Linked DNA regions of Arabidopsis thaliana. The protein of the gene in region 2 purifies or fractionates together with the protein of the main gene of each other region. This does not show direct contact. Each region holds a gene or a part of one and is shown on either strand. Other genes may lie near its edges. The genes, in order: AT4G26230, AT4G14320 and AT5G56710.

Region 1 (3,678 bases), 5.0 Mb from region 2:
CTTCCATTCGTGCTCTTTGTAAATTTATGCTTATAAATCTCACCCGTGTTCTAGGCTTCCGAAATTCCGGTGGGATGCTATCTGGCTTCCGTTTGGGCCGCTTTGGTATGTGTATCTATCGCTTAGATATAACCTTGTGTTGTTTTATATGCCCCTGTGTATGTAAAACTAAAGTTTGCATCAACTTTTCTGTACTTCGAAATTGCAGTGGAGCTGGAATTTGTCTATACGTGGACCATCTTCTAGAGGAGTCATCTGAGGAAGTGAAAAAACTGAGGAACTATATGTATGCATATAAAGCACGGTAGAGAGATAATAGCTACTTTCAAACCTCGTCAGAGTGAATTTGTGATAGCAAGAGTGCAAGTTTTGACTCTATTATCCCCTAAAGAACATTCTTCTGTTGTTGTAAATAGATACGAAACTCTGAAGTTCGTTTTGTTTAAAAACTCATGATTGACTCGAACTAGATTCCAGTTCATACATGTAATACTCTTGATTTATTCAAGCAATTCACTTGAGAGAGGTGCATAAACTTATTCATAGCTGCAGATATTATCATGATCGAACCAGATGCTCAAACTTTACCGAAACAAGTGTAAGGATTGTTGAAGACTACTTACGACACAAGACTGAGATTCTGTCTCAATCGCATACTATGATTCAAGGCTTAAGGATTCAAGAAGATAAATGTTCTCTCCAATAAAGATTCGAAAAACAAAACTCGAAAAATCTGATCAAATGTTGTTGTTACTATAAGATAGTTTAATCCTCTTCTTCAATGATCTTAGTGCCGAGGCCAGAGAGTCCTTCAGCAGGGATTTCAGCAACAGTGACAAGAGAGAAGAACTCTTCCTTTGCATCTTCATCATCATTTCTCTTACGAGCAACTCGGACTCTGATTCTCCTCGGAGGACCTCTGATACCTTTGCTCCAAATCTGCTTGTTCAATTTAACATCCACTCTCACATCCTTTGTCCCCATTTCCTTCTCAGCAAACTTCCTTATCTCCTTGATCGCCTTTGGAGCCTTCTTCTTAAAGGTACTAGTTTTACACACAAAGAAGATCAAACATTTCAATGTCACAATCCATAGAGAGCAATCGAATTAAAACATTAGCTAAGAGCTCATTATCAACATTCCAATTCCACTATCTAACAGTAAAAGCTTTGAAGCAATAAGACAAAAGTGTTTTTGGTGTTTTGGAAATTACCAGCTATGAAGGCGTCTGTGAAGGTTGATGGTGTACTCTCTGGTCACCACCTCCTCTTTCCTTCCCTTCTTCTCCGACATTTTATGTTTCTATCTTCTCTCTTTACCTGAATATATCAAAACTCAAATTCAGTTTTGACATATGATCTTAAAGACGAGATTAGCTCATTTTACTTTGTCACAAATTTTAAAAAAGGAGATTAAGATAAGAAAGAGAAAGGGATGAGAGTACCTTCTTCTCTCCACAAATGCCGAAATACAGAGCCGGTGGTGACGGAGAAGGATGAAGCTTATATGCGGCGCTCTATAAGAAGAAGAACTAACCCTAGTTGATTTTATGGGCCTTTCATCTACTAGACCTATATTTTTATGGCCCAACTAAGTGTTTCTTAACTCAAAAAAAAAAAAAAGAGTTCCTTTATATTGTGATTAACGTCTAACGATTTTTAACATTTGATAATTTAACTTTGGATAGTTTTTTTCTTATTTTTGAACAAACGTTGGATTTTTTAACTTTGGGTGAAAATATCTTGTTCTGTTTACTGTTTATATCACAAAACTAAATTATTTAATATACATTGTATTAAAAGCTAGCAAACTATATATCAATGTGGGCGTTTGGTCTAGTGGTATGATTCTCGCTTTGGGTGCGAGAGGTCCCGAGTTCGATTCTCGGAACGCCCCATTCATTTTTTTACTTTTTATATTAGATTTTAGAGCAATGTTCAGAATTTGGAGTTTTGCCAAAAGACACAAAACATAAAATGAGTTGTGTTTCTTCGTAACTGTCTGTTATAATCTTGAAATTTGAAGAAATCCACAAACTTGATAGAAAAGGTTCACATTCACACAGGAACCAAAATATCACATAGAACAATAACACTCTTGCATCACAATAGCTCAATATAAAGGGCTCACAATCATATGACCCTAAAGATCACAAAGAACAACAATACTCGCTCAATATAACCTCCTGCAAATAGTGATACCATCGCCAAGCGCAGCTTGCGAGATCTGCACACGCTGATCAGCCGAGAGTTTCTTGTTCAGCTCGAGGGTTGCTTTCTTGACTTCTATCCTCCACTCGGGCGTGGACGAGTCCGGTTCAGCAACTGATCCTCCCCAGAGAGTGTTATCATACACTATGATCCCACCAACCTTGATCAATCTAATAAGCCTCTCATGATAGTTCCAATAATTCAGCTTGTCTGCATCCACAAATGCGAAGTCGAATCCACCCTCATTCACTTTCTGCATCACAAACATCAAAACAAAAAGACCATCTCAGGATACATACTAATTCTTTTTTTGAAAGACAAAGAAGTATGAAGTTGTACATTGTTTAAAAGCTCGTCGAGGGCTGGAAGAGCTTCAGACTCTTTGAAATCAATTTTGTGTTCAACACCAGCTTTCTTTATAACCGGCAATCCTATTTCATACGAGTCTCTATTCATGTCAATGGCGATAACCTGCAGAGCTCGTGTACCAAATCAGTTGCAGAAATGATACAGAAGCAAAACAACGAAAAACATCATGACACTTTTTCTTTTGGTTTGGTCATATCTATGCAAATACCTTGCCATCTTCTGGTAGCGTAAGAGCAGTGAGGAGAAGAGAGTATCCAGTGAAAACCCCAACCTCGATAGTCTTTCTTGCATTTACCAGATTCAGCAGCATCCCCATCAACTGGCCAGCGTCTGGTGCAGTAGCCATACCAGCTTGAGGGTGGTTATGAGTAATGTTCCTAAGCTCCCTGAGAACCTCTGGCTCGCGTGGGTACACACTAGTCTCCAGTATATACTACAACATTTTTCACAGAAATGTATCAGAGAAATGGAGAAGTGAACTAACGTAGAGATGAGTATGTAAGGACAAACTTTATAGAGCTCTTCACTTTTCAGCAATCCCTTGGCTTCATCCTTAGCCATTGTGTCTCACAATCTTCGTTCCTCAAACACTGTAAAGTCTCTGCTCAAGGAAAAAAGCATATATTAAATAGCCATGCTAATTCATATAATCTTTGCTTGCATAACTGAAGAAAACTACTACTGGTTCTTTATTGATTATGGGTTGCTGCAGTTTACAACTTTTTTCTGAAAGTGTAGATCTTTCAAGTTTTCAAGGAAAACAGCTTTAAACACTATAAGCTTTGCCTTGATAAAAGGCGTGTAGATTTTATCTGATTTTATCTTATCCAATTGCTTGATTCTTAGAACTAACTTCTTCAAAAACCAATTGATTGAGCATACAGTTGACTTATGAATCAAGTTTATGTTCACTATCAAAACACTCATAAAAAAAAAGAACAACTACAAAACTAACGATCCAAAATGATCACAAAAATGTTACAAAGAGAAGACTTATAGTGAGGACCGGTCGAGAGAGAGAGAGGAGAATACCAGATGACTGAAGTCTTAGTTTCCGATCATCCACTACAATCTGGTGTGATGGCTTCTACACCTACAA
Region 2 (4,746 bases):
CAAGTGATCAAACATCAAATCTCTTTCTATTATTATCGTGTAATATGCAGTACGTATTTATTTCGATAGTATTGCTCTTACGTTTTTGGTTATACATTTATAAAAACAAAAATTGTATTTGTTCTATTATATACAATATATCAATTGACTAACGCATGCGCAGTTGGTTTGGATCTCTATTGATTTGCAAGTAAATTTTTTGGATTTATCTTTCTTTCTCACTTCGTTTCTTACATTATTAGAGAATTTGACTTACATCGCGATGTATGTTTTACAAGCAAGTAGAATCGATGCCACTTTCCTTAGATATTAGCGTAGTAGACAATGTCAATGATCGAGAAATATACACAAAAGTACCTAACTTTTGTCAGCATGAACAGATTTGAATGATATTACGTAATTGTAGAGAAGAAACTTACCTTAAAATTAACACCTCTAAAAGGTAAGAATGTGTTAGTAGAAAATGGCTATTCATATTGTAAAATTAAAAGGCCGTATAATTAGTACAGAGGAATTCGACTTGGAAACAGAAAATTAGAGATTAAATAAAACACGAATTTTAAATAACGGAAATAAAACTTTAGTGTAAATTATCTATACCCATAATATATATAGTACCAGAATCTAAGTATAATAAAGTAAAAAAAGAAAAACTGAAGTAGCATCCTTGACCGTCACCACATCTTCCGCCGCTGGCTGCCTGGCTCCACCACCACCACTACTACATTCACCGGTTCATTGTCAATACCACCACCAACAGGTCCTTCTCCTCTATCACCACAGCAGCCAGGACCACCACAGCAGACACAAGAGAATATCATCTCATCTACCATTTTGCCCGCACAGCTCTCAATTAAAACTAACACAAAGGCCAAAACACATAGGACTATCATGGTAATATAAAAAGAGTTGTTCATGTTCTCTTTTGTGCAATAAGGAGCCAGGAAACATGTTCTTCTATTTATATAATTTGGTTTTATTGTAACACATTAGTTTCGGGTCAGCTAATGGCATGATTATCATATAGCCAAAATAGAACCTTCATTTTCCATTCACGTTGCGGGGAATATAGAACCACCAATATACCGAGGAGAAACTTCTGTATGCTCTTAAGAAATTTAGTGAAAGTTAGTATGGCTGAAGTTAAAAGAAGAAAACAAATAATATTTAGTATTATCAATTCATTTCTATACGTATATGTCATTTTAATTTGCCAAGCTCATATATAACACTGATTTGCAGCACAAAACGATAAATGATTTTTCGAGATCCGAAAATAGAAAGTGGTTTTTAGAACTTAAAGAGTGTTATGTCTACTTTGTCGCAAGTTATAGAGAATACTCAAGGGCAGCCTAATGAAGAAAGATTGGTTAACCAAATTAAAAGACATCCATAAGACCAAGTCCTATTTAAATTAAAAACCAGGACCATTTCTGGTAGATTCAAAGTATATCACAGTATTGAAGCAGGACAGGTACCAAACAAAACAAAAAAAAGTAGATAGATGAAACAACAACTTAAAAGAGAGATGTTCCCTTTCCCTTCTTGTCTCCACCGATCTCAAAGTGCTTGCACCTCTGCAAAAACCACACACAAAGTGTAAGAAACAGAACTGAGACTAAAGAGTGATTAACAAAGGTAAAGAATGTCGCAGACATTACCTTAATCGGGCGTTGCGAGAAATGCTTGCAGCTTTGGCATTGAAGCCTCAGCACAATCTTCTTAGTTGTCTTAGCCTGTTCCAAAGAAAGACAAATAATGAGCAAGGTCCAATTAACAAATCATTCCTATAAGACATATTTCACAGAGTCAATTCTGAAATCCTAAATTGGTTCTCACATAGAAGACAGTAATTAGAGATCAAGACAAGGAAAAGCGAGTATACCTTCTTGTGGAAGACGGGCTTGGTCTGACCTCCATAACCAGATTGTTTACGATCATAACGACGCTTTCCTTGGGCAGCAAGGCTATCTTTACCTTTCTTATACTGCGTCACCTTGTGCAAGGTATGCTTCTTGCACTCCTTGTTCTTGCAGTAAGTGTTCTTAGTTTTCGGAATGTTCACCTACAGAAAACCAAGTTTAAAACTACCACAAGATACAGTTTCAACAGCATACAGAATTAATTACGATCATAGAAGTGAATCTAAATACGCCCTTCAGAACAAACCCTAAAACTTGTTAATAAAATTTCCTGCTTCTCCTAAATCATTCAGAATTAATTGCTACCATACGATCTGACTACTCAACTAGTCAATATTGATAACCATTTTGTGAATCCTACAAGTCCCTGAAGTACAAATCCTTCTTAATTCTCCTAAAAATCAGAACAGAATTGCAGCAACACAAATGAAGATACATAACACTATATCATTTTGAATCTCTGGTAGATTGGAGCTAAAACTCTTCACAGAGACGAAGTGAACTGAATCTTCGAATTTACAACACAGAATGCAACATAACAGATTCTAAAAATCACAATTAGACTCTAATAATTCTCGATTTAAGATGCAAAATCAGAAATAAACAACTTAAAGAAGAAGAAAAATCACACAGCAGATCTATAATCAATAATCTCGTTCTTCAATAGTAACCAAGGAGAAATTTAGCAGAAATAAAGAAAGAGAAGAGAGTCACCATTTTCGCTCTTCGGTGAAGCTCGTGCCGTCGTCTTCCACTGCCGCAAAACCTTTAATAAAAACCTAAAGTAACAGAGCTTATAAGAGAGACATTTGAGAAAACCCTAATACTACAAACATTGGGCCTCTATAAACACAAAAAGCCCATTAACTTAATCAAAAAGTCAGGCCCATCTCACTTCCCTTTTTTAAAAGAAAGTAAATATATTCTAGTTGCCGAAAATAAAAATTGTTAATAATCAGTGGCCCGTGGACAAAAACTAGCCGTTTAGAGATACAACACAACGGTTATGTTTGTTTCTTTGTTTCAAACTTCAAACCTCGTGAATCACTCACAAACCCTAATCCCCTTTTTCATTTTCTCTCTCTCTAACGCTCTCTGAATCTCAATTTCAATTTCACTCTTTCGAAACTTCTTCAACAATGGCACCGACACCATCTTCTTCAAGATCAAATCAAACTCAATACACCTTAATCAGAACTCCACAAACAAAACAACGTCTCAATTTCCACTCAAAAACCCCAAACCCAGACGGATCTAAAGATCCATCTCCACCGGAGCATCCAGTTGAAGTAATCGGCCGGATCCGAGATTACCCTGACCGGAAAGAGAAATCACCTTCGATCTTACAAGTCAACACAGATAATCAAACGGTACGAGTCAGAGCTGATGTTGGGTACAGAGACTTCACACTCGACGGTGTTTCTTTCTCGGAGCAAGAAGGTCTTGAAGAGTTCTACAAGAAGTTTATAGAAGAGAGGATTAAAGGAGTGAAAGTTGGGAATAAATGCACGATTATGATGTATGGACCTACTGGTGCTGGAAAGAGTCATACTATGTTTGGTTGTGGGAAAGAGCCTGGGATTGTGTATCGTTCTTTGAGAGATATATTGGGAGATTCTGATCAAGATGGTGTTACTTTTGTTCAAGTTACTGTTCTTGAGGTTTATAATGAGGAGATTTATGATCTTCTTTCGACTAATAGTAGTAACAATTTAGGTATTGGTTGGCCTAAAGGAGCAAGCACTAAGGTAAAGTTTCTTGATTGATAACTTTAGTATACATTGAATTGGCTTTAAAGGTGTGTACTTTGTTGTTTTGTTACAGGTGAGGCTTGAAGTAATGGGGAAAAAGGCGAAAAACGCAAGTTTTATTTCTGGGACAGAGGCTGGGAAGATTTCTAAAGAAATTGTCAAAGTGGAGAAACGGAGAATTGTGAAGAGTACACTTTGTAACGAAAGAAGTTCTCGGAGTCACTGCATTGTAAGAACGATCTTCTTGATTGATGTGTATGCATAGCTTTATGCAGCTTATCTCTGTTTTAACTTACTAGTGTGGTTGTTTCTTTTTGTAGATCATACTTGATGTGCCAACTGTTGGGGGAAGATTGATGCTTGTTGACATGGCTGGTTCTGAAAATATAGACCAAGCTGGGCAGACTGGATTTGAAGCTAAGATGCAAGTAATGTTTCCTCTCTCAATTTGTTTGATTCTACTAAAGTTATTGTAGTTATGGATATCAACTGACTTATATCTCTCATTATTCAACAGACTGCTAAGATCAACCAGGGAAATATTGCACTGAAGCGAGTTGTGGAATCTATAGCAAATGGAGATTCTCATGTACCCTTTAGAGACAGCAAGCTGACCATGCTTCTCCAGGTGAAATTCTTGTTCCATTGTTTTATCTTCTGGAAAATGTTTTACGTGTTGCTTGGTTTTCTTGAAGATATTTAGTGTTGTTTCTATTCTCTGAATGCAGGACTCTTTTGAAGATGACAAGTCAAAGATTCTAATGATCCTGTGTGCGAGCCCGGATCCAAAGGAAATGCACAAGACTCTCTGTACTCTAGAGTATGGGGCAAAAGCAAAGTGCATAGTTCGTGGGTCTCATACTCCAAACAAAGATAAGTATGGGGGTGATGAGTCTGCTTCTGCTGTGATTTTGGGATCAAGAATAGCTGCCATGGATGAGTTCATTATCAAACTCCAGTCTGAGAAGAAGCAAAAAGAAAAAGAAAGGAATGAGGCACAAAAGCAGCTGAAGAAGAAGGAAGAGGAAGTTGCTGCTTTAAGATCTCTTTTAACACAGAGGGAAGCTTGTGCT
Region 3 (3,751 bases), on a different chromosome or scaffold from region 2:
TCTTCGTCGACTATTTTGTAGTCTAAATTCACACTATAGTGTAGTATTCTAACCTTTACTTTTTCTTTTTAATCTTAGTATCCGTCAAGTTTGGGGGATTATGAACCGGTTCGCTGGAAAAATAATAAGAGCTCCGTCCCGAAATGTTTGTTGGAGAGTCTTGAAACTTTTGAGTTTGCAGGTTACATAGGAACACCTGAAGAGAGGGATTTCTTGAGTTATATCTTCAAACATGCTCGTTGCTTGAAATCTTCATCAATCTTAAGCAGACCAGAACGGTATCATGGAATTTGAGTTTTATGAGATATGCTTCACAATAGAAACTTGAAAATGATCTAAGAGTATGGTTTTTTGTATTTCTTCTTCGAATGTGGGAACTTGTTTTCGAACAATCTATCGTCTGGCTTTTATGTGGTAAACTACAATCTGTATGTCTCTGCCTTATGGCCTTGTAAACTACTAGTTCGGAAGCTCAGTCAAATAGTCTCATGCCTGTTTAAGAAGCTACGATTACACAGATCCGAGCATGAAAGTAGCGAAGGTGAACACAGCTGTACTTCTCAGCGCAAGACATCTTATCAACAGCTCTTGATTCAAAGTTAAACCTAGTTGATTTATTTTTTTTGTCAAAAAAAAGTAAAAAATAAAAAATAATTTGGACGACATCTAGCATAATTTTATACACAGATCATTCCTACGATCTACTTTGTGTAAATGTGAGATTCGACAATTAACAAGCATAAAGAAAATTCCAAAGCAAAACAAGAGTCAATCATGAAGAAGAAAATGGGTCTCTTCAATAAACTGCATAAGTAAATTCAAGATGCACTACAATGAAGAAAGTGAAAGGTCAAGACTTTTAATTGAAACACAGCAACAAAAGTAAAAAACCAAACAAAACTTGTTCTACTGATTCTCTTAATCCTCCTCTTCGATGACCTTTGTGCCAAGACCACTGAGTCCTTCTGCAGGGATTTCAGCAACAGTGACAAGGGAGAAGAACTCTTCCTTCGCATCTTCATCGTCGTTTCTCTTACGTGCAACACGAACCCTGATCCTCCTTGGTGGACCTCTGATTCCCTTGCTCCAGATTTGCTTGTTCAATTTCACGTCTACCCTAACGTCCTTAGTCCCCATAGCTTTCTCTGCGAACTTCCTGATTTCCTTGATGGCTTTCGGTGCCTTCTTCTTAAAGGTGCTGTTACAAACCAATAATACATAAGTAGAGATACTTAATCACATAAAACCAAACCCACCAAAAAACCACATTCCACAAACCAAACTCTAATCTTAATTCTCTTTTACAAGATATATCAAATGAACTATACCCTTTCATTTCAAGACTAATTTCGATAGTAAATCCAAAAAACAATCAGTACAAATTTTTACTTTAAGTAACAAAACACACTTGATACGATTTTTCAAAACAATAGATACCATTTCCCCATGAATTCAATAACACCATGAATTTCAAAAGATCAGATTCTCTGGACTAAACGTCTGATTACATTTAGAAAAAGATTAGCTAACTTAATTTCATTACAACCCTATGATATTAACCAACAAGCAGCTCAAAACATGAACACAAAGAGTGAAATCTTACCATTTGTGAAGGCGTCTGTGGAGGTTAATGGTGTACTCTCTGGTAATCACTTCCTCTTTCCTTCCCTTTTTCTCAGACATCTTCTCTTTCTCTGTGACTTACTTCTTCAAACTCTTTACCTGCGATTACCCATTACAAAAAACCACTTCAAAATCGATTCTTTTCACCGGAAATCAAACAGATCTGTTCAAAGCTAGGTCAAGGACACAGAATTGAGCTAGATTGAGAAAGAGAGAGAGAGAGTAGTACCTTTCGATTGAAGAACGCCGAGAGACAGAAAGGGGACGAAGGAAGAGAACTAAGCATATATATGCGGCACTTTGAGTTAACCCTAAAATAAATAAATGATTGGGCTTTAATGGGCCTATTTTTTGTGCTATTATGCTTGGCATTTCCCTCTTACGCTTTCTTATTTTAGTAGCCCATTTACGGCCCAAATACATATGAAGTAAATGTTTTACTCGAATTTAAACTGATTGGTTCGATTAATTAATCACCCATGTTAACCAACAAAAATAAAAGTTTGAGGATCTTTATTTGGCTACATTTCTTTTTATAGATTCCTTGTTTTTGTTGCATGACTTAGATTTTTTGTAAGACGAAGTTTTGTTAAGTATCAGGTTATGTCCTCTTAGAAGCTTTTCATAGATTCCTTATGTCTTCTTGATTATTTTTTTTGGTTTTATAAATTGAACTTTGGAATGCATGACATTCATTCGTTGCTTTATTATCTTTTTTACTTGGAAAACAATGGAGTTCGTTGGAGAAGAAATTAATTATACTTTTGTGATTCAGAAAGTTTTGGTTCTACTGTTTTGTGTTGGTTTGTCATGGAAAATGATAATATACATGTGTAATTTGTTAAACATTGAGAAAGATCCTATAAGGGTTTTGATTACCGGTGCAGCAGGTAAGAACTCAAACAAAAAACGATCCGGTTTATGTTTTGATTTATAATTCTATCAATTTATTTGGTTTGGTTCAGTGTTTTTTTATTGGAGTCTTTTATCTACTACTCCCTACCTTTATGGTCGTTTGTTCTTAATTTAATTGAGAACTTTCTATTGAACAGGAAACATAGGATATGCAATTGCTCCAATGATTGCAAGAGGTATTATGCTAGGTCCAGATCAACCCATGATTCTGCATTTACTTGATATAGAGCCAGCTTCAAGTTCACTAGAAGCTGTGAAAATGGAGCTTCAAGATTCAGCTTTCCCTCTTCTCAAAGGCGTTATCGCGACAACAAATGTTGTTGAAGCATGTAAAGATGTGAATATCGTGATAATGATCGGCGGATTCCCAAGGATAGCAGGCATGGAAAGAAAAGATGTGATGTCGAAAAATGTTGTGATATATAAAGCTCAAGCTTCGGCTTTAGAGCGTTATGCATCAGATGATTGCAAGGTTCTTGTTGTCGCAAACCCTGCAAACACTAATGCTCTGATCTTAAAAGAGTTTGCGCCATCAATCCCGGAAGAAAATATCACTTGCCTGACACGACTCGACCATAATCGAGCTCTAGCTCAGCTTGCAGATAAGCTAAGTGTTCCCGTGAGCAGTGTAAAGAACGTGATCGTTTGGGGTAACCATTCTTCAACTCAATATCCCGACACCAATCACGCAACAGTCTCTACAAAAACTGGAGACAGACCGTTAAAAGAACTAGTCACAGATCACAACTGGCTGAAGAACGAGTTTATCGTGGAAGTTCAGCAACGCGGTGCAGCTGTTTTAAGAGCACGGAAACAGTCGAGTGCTTTTTCCGCTGCTGGTGCAGCTTGTGACCATATCCGTGATTGGTTTCTTGGAACCCCTAAAGGAACTTGGGTTTCTATGGGTGTTTGTTCTGACGGCTCATATGGTATACCACCTGGTTTGGTTTACTCGTTTCCGGTTATCTGTGAGAAAGGGAGTTGGAAGATCGTACAAGGACTCAGTATAGACGAGTTTTCGAGGGAGAAAATGGATGACTCTGCACGAGAGCTAGCTGAAGAGAAGGATTTAGCTTATTCCTGTCTCAATGTATAGACCAAAAGTTGAAAACTATGATAGTCATGGCACAAACAATGTAGCAAACAAATAAGTTTGTGTTTCTATATTCATGAAAAATAATGGGAACTTACATAATAAACGCTGAGGTTCACA

What was found.
Region 1: the proteins of AT4G14320 (region 2) and AT4G26230 fractionate together in Arabidopsis thaliana (co-fractionation; one large-scale study listed by BioGRID). This does not show direct contact.
Region 3: the proteins of AT4G14320 (region 2) and AT5G56710 fractionate together in Arabidopsis thaliana (co-fractionation; one large-scale study listed by BioGRID). This does not show direct contact.

Annotation. Positions count from the first base shown.
Region 1 is NC_003075.7:13,283,641-13,287,318, reverse strand, and holds AT4G26230 (Ribosomal protein L31e family protein), read right to left. Parts: upstream 1,583-3,678; 5' UTR 1,445-1,582; intron 1,320-1,444; 5' UTR 1,294-1,319; coding exon 1,214-1,293; intron 1,046-1,213; coding exon 766-1,045; 3' UTR 528-765; downstream 1-527. Other genes in the region: AT4G26240 (histone-lysine N-methyltransferase), read left to right, coding at 55-105, 209-308; AT4G26220 (S-adenosyl-L-methionine-dependent methyltransferases superfamily protein), read right to left, coding at 2,173-2,463, 2,550-2,681, 2,788-3,012, 3,090-3,140.
Region 2 is NC_003075.7:8,241,167-8,245,912, forward strand, and holds AT4G14320 (Zinc-binding ribosomal protein family protein), read right to left. Parts: upstream 2,745-4,746; 5' UTR 2,640-2,744; coding exon 2,637-2,639; intron 2,066-2,636; coding exon 1,886-2,065; intron 1,737-1,885; coding exon 1,662-1,736; intron 1,578-1,661; coding exon 1,556-1,577; coding exon of another isoform or gene 1,518-1,555; exon of another isoform or gene 1,264-1,517; intron 860-1,263; coding exon 675-859; 3' UTR 566-674; downstream 1-565. Other genes in the region: AT4G14315 (uncharacterized protein), read left to right, coding at 1-7; AT4G14330 (P-loop containing nucleoside triphosphate hydrolases superfamily protein), read left to right, coding at 3,062-3,670, 3,747-3,902, 3,994-4,101, 4,191-4,301, 4,402-4,746.
Region 3 is NC_003076.8:22,943,085-22,946,835, forward strand, and holds AT5G56710 (Ribosomal protein L31e family protein), read right to left. Parts: upstream 1,910-3,751; 5' UTR 1,853-1,909; intron 1,723-1,852; 5' UTR 1,684-1,722; coding exon 1,604-1,683; intron 1,199-1,603; coding exon 919-1,198; 3' UTR 623-918; downstream 1-622. Other genes in the region: AT5G56700 (FBD / Leucine Rich Repeat domains containing protein), read left to right, coding at 79-294; c-NAD-MDH3 (Lactate/malate dehydrogenase family protein), read left to right, coding at 2,354-2,513, 2,676-3,634.